Linked DNA regions of Macaca mulatta. The protein of the gene in region 3 interacts with the protein of the main gene of each other region in a pairwise test. Links are inferred from orthologs where the notes say so. Each region holds a gene or a part of one and is shown on either strand. Other genes may lie near its edges.

Evidence for each region.
Region 1: the proteins of HMBOX1 (region 3) and KAT5 interact in binary tests that used the Homo sapiens proteins (3 or more experiments, as listed by UniProt). The two-hybrid records come from large-scale screens. The link is inferred for Macaca mulatta from reciprocal best matches to the Homo sapiens genes HMBOX1 and KAT5.
Region 2: the proteins of HMBOX1 (region 3) and C8H8orf33 interact in binary tests that used the Homo sapiens proteins (3 or more experiments, as listed by UniProt). The two-hybrid records come from large-scale screens. The link is inferred for Macaca mulatta from reciprocal best matches to the Homo sapiens genes HMBOX1 and C8orf33.

What each region holds. Positions count from the first base shown.
Region 1 is NC_133419.1:8,673,669-8,677,293, reverse strand, and holds the end of KAT5 (histone acetyltransferase KAT5), read left to right. Parts: intron 1-114; coding exon 115-255; intron 256-336; coding exon 337-430; intron 431-1,079; exon of another isoform or gene 1,080-2,048; coding exon 2,049-2,208; exon of another isoform or gene 2,209-2,337; coding exon 2,338-2,419; exon of another isoform or gene 2,420-2,513; coding exon 2,514-2,648; 3' UTR 2,649-3,061; downstream 3,062-3,625. Other genes in the region: RNASEH2C (ribonuclease H2 subunit C), read right to left, coding at 3,236-3,262, 3,499-3,618. UniProt on the Homo sapiens protein: Catalytic subunit of the NuA4 histone acetyltransferase complex, a multiprotein complex involved in transcriptional activation of select genes principally by acetylation of nucleosomal histones H2A and H4.
Region 2 is NC_133413.1:155,452,426-155,456,140, reverse strand, and holds C8H8orf33 (UPF0488 protein C8orf33), read right to left. Parts: upstream 2,585-3,715; 5' UTR 2,562-2,584; coding exon 2,556-2,561; intron 2,468-2,555; coding exon 2,117-2,467; intron 1,990-2,116; coding exon 1,905-1,989; intron 1,756-1,904; coding exon 1,609-1,755; intron 1,038-1,608; coding exon 898-1,037; 3' UTR 633-897; downstream 1-632.
Region 3 is NC_133413.1:30,643,736-30,647,480, forward strand, and holds the start of HMBOX1 (homeobox-containing protein 1), read left to right. Parts: upstream 1-1,278; 5' UTR 1,279-1,562; intron 1,563-1,953; exon of another isoform or gene 1,954-2,369; intron 2,370-3,745. Other genes in the region: INTS9 (integrator complex subunit 9), read right to left, coding at 769-777. UniProt on the Homo sapiens protein: Binds directly to 5'-TTAGGG-3' repeats in telomeric DNA. Associates with the telomerase complex at sites of active telomere processing and positively regulates telomere elongation.

The DNA.
Region 1 (3,625 bases), on a different chromosome or scaffold from region 3:
ATCACCTATCAGTCTGGGGCATAGCACAAACAGTGAAGCTCCTGGTTGACCCTGAACCACTGGCCAGGCTCAAGGCAGGATACCCAGAATGGTGACAAGCCTTTTCTCTTGCAGAGTTATTCCCAGAACCTGTGTCTTTTGGCCAAGTGTTTCCTTGACCATAAGACACTGTACTATGACACAGACCCTTTCCTCTTCTACGTCATGACGGAGTATGACTGTAAGGGCTTCCACATCGTGGGCTACTTCTCCAAGGTCAGTGCCTGTCCAGGCTGTCCCTGTGCCCTATCCTGAGCCAGGTCCCTTCCCTGACACTCACCTGCCCCCCTTTTCCAGGAGAAAGAATCGACAGAAGACTACAATGTGGCCTGCATCCTAACCCTGCCTCCCTACCAGCGCCGGGGCTACGGCAAGCTGCTGATCGAGTTCAGTGAGTATGTGTGCTGCAGCCAGGGGGTAGTGCACCCATCATCGGTGCCCCATAGGCAGATGTGCCAGGCTACCGTGATTCTCAACCGTGGCTGTGCAGCCCGGTCTCTAGGGGAGCCAGCCAGAAATAACAGTGGCACTCTCCCAGAGTTCTCTCCATTCAGGCTGACTGCCCTGCTTATCTGGGGTAGGTTCTCAGCCCCACAGTTTGCTCCTTGGCCAGGGTTCTAAGTGCCACTCAGCTTTCCCCAAATCTGACTTACATGCTCCTGCCTGGAGCCATGGGCAGGTTAGTGAGCCGCTGGTGCTCATGTATCTGGTAACCGGTGTCACATGATACAAGTCCTTGGGCAAGGACCAGTGGTTAATGTCCCCAGTTGTCGCCTGAGCCGTGCAGGCAGGTGTCCAAAATGCTGTCAACAGATACACGTAAGCATGGAATTCTCCCTTGCTCCTCGTGTCCAGTGAGGTCAGTCTCTTAAAGCCAGAAGGGACTCTGACCTTCATCACACATGAGCTCTTCAGTGCCCTCCCCAACCCTGAGGCTCCTTCTCCTTCTCAGCCTCTTCCCCATCACCCCGCATTCTATCTCACCACTCACTTGGAATAACTAAGCTCTGACCTGAGAAAAGAAGAGGAAGTTCTAGCTGTTTGCCTGGTGAAGACACAGAGGCTTTACTTGATCAAGGTTATGGTCCATTCGAGAAATGTATTGGTTAAGTGATGCCCAGATGGGGTCACATCCTCAGAACTTCTCAGCCTGGTAGCACAAGTGGATGCTTGAAGAAACTCAGTCTTGGAGCTCAGACTGCAATGGAGATGGGATGTGGGTGGGACTACCAAGGGGCTAAGGTCCATTGTGAGGGTGAGGAAGGGCTTCTAGAAGTCACAAACATCCCAGGTCCCTGGTGGGGAGAATGAAGACACTGCCCAAGAGATGTGAAGCCACTCAGGGCTGTGCAGGGCCAGGATCTCACTGGGGACTGCCTCCCAGTGCGCAGCTATCAGCAGGAGTTGGAGGGAAACAGCCATGGTGGGGGTCAGTCACCTGGCTCTCAGGAATGGTCTCCCCAACTTGGGAAGCACTTTGGTGCACCTTTTCTCCTTGCATCCTCACAACCACCCAGTCAGGCCACTCAGGTCTTAACAGCAGCTGACACTCCCAAGATCCCAGCTAGGAGGACTGATTTGACTGAGAATTCAAGCATTCTCAGGCCTGGATTAGAGACAGGAATCTGTCCCCACTTCCTTCCTTACATGCCCAGACATGGAGCCTGGGATGGCAAAGGAAAATTGGAGGCACTTTCTTCCCCTGAGCCATTTTCCCTGCATCCCCTGCCCATAAGCCTTCACTGGCCTCTGATCACCCTCGTGGTTGACTGCAGCTGCTCCTCTCAGTGCTCTCATGCCCTCCACTGTGCTCAACTCCCAGGGGAAGAGTGAATACTCGTTAGTTCTTCCTGAGGGAACTGAGGCGCAGAGAGGCGGAGGCCACAGAACTGCCAAGTGGCAGGGCCATGATGGGAACTAGGCAGCCTGCCTTGGCGACCTGTGTTTTTAAATGTTGCTTATGTTCATCTATGACCTCTTACTCACCCTCTCCTGCTCCATTGCTTTAGGCTATGAACTCTCCAAAGTGGAAGGGAAAACAGGGACCCCTGAGAAGCCCCTCTCAGACCTTGGCCTCCTATCCTATCGAAGTTACTGGTCCCAGACCATCCTGGAGATCCTGATGGGGCTGAAGTCAGAGAGCGGGGAGAGGCCACAGATCACCATCAAGTGAGCCTGGCGCTGCCTACCTGGGGGTACATGGCATGGCCTGTCTGTTCCTGGGCTTTCTCACTCTCTCCTGGGGCTCCTGGGGACAGATGAAGGTCCTCAGGGGACCTGACCTTTGCTCTCCTACAGTGAGATCAGTGAAATCACCAGCATCAAGAAGGAGGATGTCATCTCCACTCTGCAGTACCTCAATCTCATCAACTACTACAAGGTAGGGAGGCAGGCAGGGTGGAGACAGGTGTGTGGGATGCAGAGTGCAGGCCCCTGTCCGCTGGCCACTTGCTGAACCCATCTCCTCTGCCCAGGGCCAGTACATCCTCACACTGTCAGAGGACATCGTGGATGGCCATGAGCGGGCTATGCTCAAGCGGCTCCTGCGGATTGACTCCAAGTGTCTGCACTTCACTCCCAAGGACTGGAGCAAGAGGGGGAAGTGGTGACCAGGCACTGCCCACTGCAGTGCTAAGACAGCAGGACTGGGGCTGATAGCCCACCCCGCCCTCACTGCAGCTCCCACAAAGCACTCTAAGGGAGATGGGGCTGAAAAGCTCGAAAAGGAGGGGACAGGCCTGGCAGGGCCCATTGGTGCCCGGCACCAAGGCGAGCTCAGGGCTCAGGCTAACTCCAAGGTCAGCTGGCCACAGGCCCAGGCCTGCTCTGAACCAGGGATCAGAGGGAGCCAGGCAGCTGTGTACAGTGAGATGGGGGGTGGGGGAGCTCTGTACAGAGGGCTGGTGGTTGTAAAAATTTCTTTTGTAAAGTAGAAGTTGGGGGTGGGGTGGGTGCTGGCTGCAAAAAATTCTGGCTTCTCTTATCCCCATTGCCCACGGCAATAAATTGTTTCTATATGCCAGAGCCATGCAAGGTTCTTGGGGGAGAGGGGTCCATGCTGGCTTAGGGGCTCTAAGGTGCCCGGACTCACAGGTGCTGTAAAGAGCTCCTTTATTGGGGTGATGGAATCAGTGGTTCCAAAGAGCTGGTTTACTGCTGTGAAGGGATCGCAGCTTTGAATTTCAAGCTCTGGTTCTCAGTCCTCGGGCACCTGTGCGTGAATCTGCAAGAGGAGTCGCCTCTACTGTTGGACTTGTAAGGCAGGGCGGCAGGCTGGCCCCCAGACCCGGGGAAGGACCCAGCTGTTCAGAATAACCCCTTCTAGACATGGCTAGGAAGAGTGGTCGGGGAGCTACGCTTCCCACGCACTACCCAGTAGAATCCTCCAGGCTTCGTCTGCCCAATTGTGCTCCACAGCCCATCCACCCGGGGACAAGACGGAACTCCTCATCTACTCACCGCTGCCGCAAGACTGGGCCAAGTTAGGGCCCCACGCACTTTGGCATCCGGGCCAGGGATGGTCTCCAGACCCCACAAGGTGAAGTGGCTGAAGCTGGCAGTGGCTCCAATGAAGCGGTCCTGAGGA
Region 2 (3,715 bases), about 120 Mb from region 3:
GTTTAAATTTCGCGCCATAAGCTGTGTTTAAACTTGTGTTTGCCTATATAAACAACCTGTAACAAGCAGTCGGGGTCCCAGGGCCAACTTAGAGCTTGGGACCCTAGCGCGCTAGTAATAGATAACTCTCTGCTGTGAATCTCGTGTCGGTAATCCTTCGCGGCAACCCCTGCCCAGGAGGGAATCAACAGTTCGGTTCCAACATGCCGAGGCTCAATCCAGGTCTCAGGCCAGAACTGTTAGGGCAAGAAGCTCCTTCCTCCTGAGAAGACAGCCATGCCTGGTGGCTGCCATGCTGGTTCCCTGAGGATGACACCTGCTCAGGAATGAAGGCAACATGGACAAAGGATCGAGGCAAGGGACTGGACCCAGGGAACCAGACCCCTGCCGTCTTCTGTACTTCCTCTAACACAGCTGGTCAGCACACTCTTTCACTCGTTATCCAATTTTATCAAAAATAAAGACTAGGGCAATGTGACATAACAGCATTAAGCACTAAACCATTTGACAGGAATTCCTTTCAAAAGTGAAAAACAGTGTATAATTATATAGCTTCTCCACTAATCTTTGTTACCAACAGCCACTTAATCTAATCCTAAAGACTGAGTACAATATTCTTTCTACAATACTTCAAACAGTCACTTCAATTTATTGTACATTTTCTAAACGCACCTCTCTCTCTGTTCTGAAAGAGAGAACATTTCATCACAAAACAAATGGGGTCTTTTGCCTATCTGATGGTCTCACACCTTCACAACAGCTCCAAATACTTGGACCAGCCAGGGACAGACCAACCCCAGGGTTCTCTCCCAACAGAAGTCCTGAAAAGGCTCTGCACTCAAAACAAACCCCTACACCACCCCAAGGGAGGGGGAATGTTCCAGGTCAGGGGAGAAGCTAAAAGAAATTGAACCTAAACTCTTCATCAGGAGTGTCCAGAGTGGCTTTGGCTCGCCCTATAGGGCGAGGCCTGCAGACCCTTCGGCTCTTCTTTCTGGTGGCTCCATCTACAGGCTGCACCTGGGCTAAATAAGCAGCTGTCAGGGGAGAGAAGCAGCGTATGTGAGAACTGAATAACAACAGCTAACATTACCTGTACAGTTATGTTTGCCCATACAATTCTAACCACTTTGAATAAATTAACTAATTCCTCAAATTTGTAAGGTTGATATTACTATCACCGCCCATTTAGAGAGGTTCAGTAGTTTGCAAAAGGTGTTAGTACTACTATGTGGTAGATCCAGGATTTGAACCTAGCTCATCTGGCTCCAGGAATTGCACTCAAACTGTTATGGGATATGGCTTCGTTGCCAGTAGAGAGAGCCAAGACACAAAGACATAACGCAGCTTTCCCCAAGCCAGGAGCAGGACCAACACAGGGTCACACTCTTTCCCGCTCCTCCCATGACCTCCCCGCTGCTTCCCAGGTTCAGTCCTGGGAAAAGGAGAGACAGGTCCATCCTTACTCTTTCCCTGTTCCCTCAGGCTTCCCTGAGCTCATCTCCTTCCCCCACCAGCCTTGTTGCTCTGGGCCTTCTTCCTTTCACCCCCTAGGCACTTCCTCCTTAAATTAGGCCTTCCTAAATCAACCAGTTACTAGCTCCTCACCAGATCTGAGAGCCCGCAGGGCCTCACGCCATTCGGCTTCCATCTGAGCCCTATAGTCTCCAAACAAGGAGTGCATCAACTGCCTCTTCCGGGGCAGGGGCGTTCTTTTGCTGCGCAGGGTTCGGATTGCTCCAATAGCCTGCTCTTCTGCGAATAAAAACAAAGGACTAGTGAAAACCTCTACTACTGACCTCCTACCGCCCCACCGCAAAGGAAACAACTTCACCTCTGCCAGCACCTGCAGGCCAGGCGGTGCCACTGTTCACATTCCCCAACTCTATAGAAAGGTCCCTTACTCTGTTTTGGGGTGGGTTTCTGCCTCTTGAGGCCAAGCTCCAGTTGTTCCACACACCAAGCCAATTCCTGGGCCAACTGCTGCGCCTGTGAGGGATTTGGGGAAGTGGCTGTGAGAGGGCACTGGGACACAAAACTGCGCCTGGCCCCATCCCATCCCCCTCCCCGCCTTAACTCTGCGGACCCCAGATCACATGTGCCCGTGGATTCGCACTAGGGGATTCCACCCTTCCTGAATGACGCCCGCCCTTGCCTGGGCCTCAGCGCTTAGGGGCACTTCTTCTGGGGCGGGTTTCTCTGAGGCCTTCTCGCCTCCATTTGCCACAGAGGCCCTGTTCCGGGTTTTCTTCTTATTCTTTTGTTTTTTCGACGCTGCACTGCCTTCATCGCCTAACGGGTGCGCTCTGGTGTCGGCGTTACTGCTCGTGGGTTGCCCTGGGCAGAGACAGACAGTGGAGGGATTCCGGACGCTGGAAACCAGGCCGGGAAGCCGGTGTCTGCGGGACGCGCAGGGAGTACCCGGGCCTGGGGCCGCCGCTGCCTCCCCGGCAAGATGTCCTAGGGCCTGGAGAAAGGGGGGCAGCACGAGGGTCACGGAGGGCCACCGACAGTGCGACGCCCAGCCACCCGCGCGTCTTCTCCACACCGCTCACCGCCATGCTCCGCAGTCGCCACCGGAACTACGCGAGGCGGAGTCCGACGTCGAATTCCGTCCTCCAAGAGGGCGCCTGCGACTCTAGGTTCCGCAGGGTCGCGGGCGGGGCGGGGCGGGGCGGGGCGGGGCGCGGGGGCCCTGAGAGGAAGGGGCGAGGCTGGGGCGGGATGAAGCTGGGGCGCGGCGATGGTGGGACGGGGCTGGGACCTGGCTCAGGCGAAGCTGGGACGGGGCTGGGGCGGGGCTAGGCGGGGCGGGGGCGGGAAGGGGACGGGCGGGGAGGGGAGAGGAGGGGCTGGGCGAGGCTGGGGCGGGATGAAGCCGAGGCGAAGCTGAGACAGGGTCGGGGCGGGGCTGGGGCGAGGGCAGGGGGGGGCTGGGGCGAGGGCAGGGCGGGGCTGGGGCGAGGGTAGGGTGGGGCGAGGCCGGGGTCGGGGGTGCCTGGGGGATCCGGAAAGAGGCTGCAGGGCGGTCTCGGAAGGAACCTTGTGAGCAAGTGCTCCCGGGCACCGACTATGTGCCCGGCACCTTTCCGGATAAAAGTTCAAAGCTCTACACAAGGGTGTGTCTTCTCAAGGCTCACCTTTTGGTGGGGAGGGAAAAGCAAGTAAACAGAACTTGAGCAGCTGTGGCGCAGGAGGGTGGTCGGCAAAGACCCCTGGGAAATGGGGAAGAGGCGCAGGCCTGGGACCCGGCGCAGCCCGCGGCGCTCGCTCCGAGAGGATCAGGGCACCGTCGGTTGAGAGGCCGGCGACGCGGGACGTGGGGGCTCGGGTGAGGTCTGTGAGTTGGGAGGTTTACTTCCGTTCTAACGCAGTGGGAAGTTGCTGCAAGATGTAAATCTGAAGAGTGGCATAATCGTAGACGTGTGTTCTGCGGTTCTCTCTGCTCCTGTGCAACGAGTGGGGCACATGGGGTGGAGGGATGTGGAGGGATTTCAGAAGCAGACGCGGGAAGAGCCTTGGACAGGATATGGGCGTGAGGGAGGGTGGCGGTATGGGGGAGAGGGAGAGCCCAATCCACCTCTCTTCTCCCGGATGCTTCCCTCCCACTATACCTTGCTGGAGACCTGGGGTCACACACAACACTCGACCCCCGCCGATGGAGGCCTGACAACCGAGAGGAATTGCGTAGGGGCTGAGGTGAGACTGAGTGAGG
Region 3 (3,745 bases):
ATTACTAATTGAATCGAGTTGGAATAAACTAGTCAGACCTGTATGCACAATGAGTCAAATGGCTCAAATCAAAGGTTTGAGAAGTCTCTATGAGCCAGGTGCTTGAGTTGTGTGATGTTAAGACTTCAGGTATACCGGCACACTTCATCCAGACTTGGCTCATGCAGTCCCTACAGTCTTAGAATGGAATACCATATAACACTTCTCTCCCCATCTAAATCCCAGTTAGGGTTTAAGACTCAACTTCTCCACACTCTGACCTCGTCCTTAATACCAAGGGCAGTGAGGAGTCTATACAACAGGATATTTAATAAGTGATTACGTTCTGCCGAATGTTTTTTTTACTGTCTGCTTAAATCTAGCCAAAGTTTCAACAACAGTAGGGAGACAGGCTACTCAAGCGCCAGTCGAATGGAAAGGGGTTGTTAACAGCCTATTATAACCCTAACGTGGGAGCCAGGACGTCCAAACCTGGTTAACAGAGCCCACAGAGTTCATAGGGGAAGGACTGTGACCGAGTCAACGTCTTGTCTGAACAAAAAGACCCACCAACGAGTGAAAGAAGACCTCCTGGGAGGGATAGGGGGGCGGGAGAGGGAATTCAAGCCTTCTTAACAACAAAAAGCAGCTTTCTTTAGCCCACTCCACTTTCCAGCTACTTAATTGCTACCCCTCCTGTGTGACGATTCCCTGCCCAAAGTAGGAAAAAAAGAGGTCCAAAAGGATATAGCATCAACTTTGCCCTCTGACCTAGGAGCGAAGACTCACCAGTTTCATAATGGACTTTTGGTGGTTCAATAGCAGTCACTGAACTCCTCAAACGCAGGAAGCGTCTTCCGGTGCAATCTCCGCCACCTGCCAGCCCAGAGCATCGCGGGACTTGCAGTCTTTCATTCTCACGTCCCTTCCAGGGGAATCATAGGAAATGTAGTCTCCCCTCCAGGCACCATGGGAACTGTGGTCGCCTTTCCTTTTCCTCCGTTTCCTCTGCGGACGCCTCCTTCCGTCAGCTCAAATTCATCCCCGCCGCCCTCTCCACCCCAGCATGATATCATGTCCCCATTACGCGCCTGGAGCCCATGGTGTTCTGGGATGTGTAGTCCCGACGGCTCCGGGTCCCCTTTCCCCTCCTCCCAAAGGGAAGGCGGATGGGCACGGGGCTTGCCGGGAGTTGTAGTTCTCTTGGGCCTCTAGGCGCCGGGCTCCGCGCTTTTACTCGGGGGAGGCAGGAACTACAACTCCCAGGGACGCCGGGCGGCAGCAGGTGGGAGCGGGGCTGTTGATATCAATATGGCGGTTGTCAGCCAGACAAAGACAGTCAGTCTGATGTGATTGAGACAAGGGAGGTTTTTCAGGGGGAGACTGGGAGATAGGGGCCTCCCCTCCCCCTTCTCCTCTTCCTGCGCCGGCCTCAACCCCTCCCCAGTCCCCTCCCGACGGGCGCCCCACGCGGAAGACACCCCTCCCCCTCCCGTTTTCCCTCCTCCCTACCTCAGCCCTTCGTACTGGGACGTTGGGGAGGGGGCTCTGCCGGGCGGAGAGAACTCAGCGAGGATTCTGAGGTGAGTCGAGCGGTTTTGAAGCCGGACAACCTCAAGTCTCTTTCCTCACTTCTTTCTCTTCATTTAAAACAATTTTTTTTGGAGGGGTTTTGGGGAGGAAGTGAGCGGACGCTGGGGATGGGTCTCGTTAGCGGCCGGATTGAGAGGAGGGAGGAAGCAGGGGGCTTCCGAGTGGGTGATCCAGACGCGGGCTGTGGGGTGGGGCAGTTCGTGGGGGCCGGTCCTGGAAAGGCGTCGACTGCCCCCCAACTCTTCTGGTTTCCTCTACTACGAGCGGAAGGTTTGAATCCTGGAGGTGGGGTCTCTGGTGTGGAGTTCGAGAAACTGTGAGGTGATTTGCAGGTGTGTTGGTTTGTTTGGGGTGTGGAAGTGTGTTTAAACTGTGTGACGTGTACTTGTGTGCTCTGCTTGTTTTGGAGCGGTGTCTGTAGATGAGAAGTTAGACAGCGCGAGTCCTCGCTCGCTCTGGGCCTGGGCTGAGGGGCGGGCGTGAGGTCCTGGTGCTGGGCATTTGGGCTGGCGACGTGGTGCGGGGCAGCCGGGCTTAGCAACTCGCTCGTGTCCCGTCGCCCGCTCACACTCCGCCACTCGCCTCCGCCCCCTCCCCTGGACGAATCTCCACCCCAAACTCCAGCCACGAGAACTGTAGAGATGGTGTGATGTGGAGATGGGTTTTTTGCATCCTCAAGTCGGTAGATAGGTGGGAAAGGAAAAGTGTTTCTTAATATTTTATTCCGGAACCGTGTTTTGGTTACACTATTGGGGCTACTTTGAAAGGCGTCCTCCACCCACCTTCACCCCGAAACCGTAGGTAGAGGTATCTTGTCTTCGTGTGATTAGATGAATAATTGCTGAAGATTCGGGGGGGCCTGGGGTGGGGGTCGGGAGTGCTGGATTGTGTACGCGTCTGTGTATGTCTACTAAAGAGACGGAATGTCTGCTGTGTATCTTGAGATAGGGCGACTTATTTTCGTAGTAGGAAGAACTGTTGGAAATTATTTGCGGGAGAGGGGGTGCGCGGAAAGGCGCTGCTTGTATTTTTCTTCTACTCCACCCTGTTCTGTCTTGCATTTGCCTGAAAGCTGGTGGAATGGAACAGTGAAGAAGCATTGGGTGAGTAAAGGGAAGAATGCAGTTGGCATTAAAGATAACACTGTGTAAAGTTGAATGGTATAAAGTGATTACTGCTTTTATTTACACTGAAGCTTAAAAAAAATCACCCATGTATCATATAGGGTAGAGTGATGTGACTAGCTCATTTCTCTGGGATCCTGCAGGTATAGAAACCTCTGGCTTCCCTCTTCCTTCCTTCCCTCTTCCTTCCTTCCTATCCTCCCTCCTTCCTTCCTTAAGTCCTTCCTTTCTTTCTTGGCTTAGTACGACATTTCTCATTCTGATGGACGTAATACCGCCTGTGTCTTTTTGTTTAGTTTGTGCTAATATGGTTGTGCTTTTTGTGGTTTTACCATAAAATGCATCATTAAATGCATTTATTATTTTGCATTTATGCTGCAGGTAATTATCACATCAGGATTGCAGTGCTTTGCATTAAACTTATTTTAAAATTGTACAATTAAGTTGCTTGATCTAGTTGAATTATGTTTCTAAGTCAAAGTTGGGAAATTTGAATTCTAAATTTTTTTCAAATTTCAATTAGAGTTAAAAAGAAAAGGATTGCAATATATTTCTCACAGTTTTTAATATTTAATAACACACTAGAAGAATTTAAGATCACATATTTTGTACTTCCTTGTTAATTTCTTCAATAATTCTTATGTGACAATTTTTTTAGTGTAACGGATTTTTAAAATAAAGAAATTGGCATAATTTCTATTTCAACTGTTGAGAGTTGAATATATTCCCCAAACTTATCAATTATTGAATCTGCCACCTATCATCAGTAAGGGACCTTTAGATTCTATGATAACTGAAAACCACATTGATAGTGTATAATTTTATGGTATGTCCTCTAACCATTTATTTGAAATTTTTGCTGTTGGTCATTCACACAGATAAGGGGGACTGAAAGAATGAGGTAGCATGTATACTTCAATTGACCTGAATAGAAAAAAACTGTGATTTCTAAATCTTCAGATGTAGAATATACAATATGTTGATTCCAAACTAAGCCATTAGTTTGTGATAGACCAGGATTTTCAGAATCATTTGTTTTAAGCTTGTGT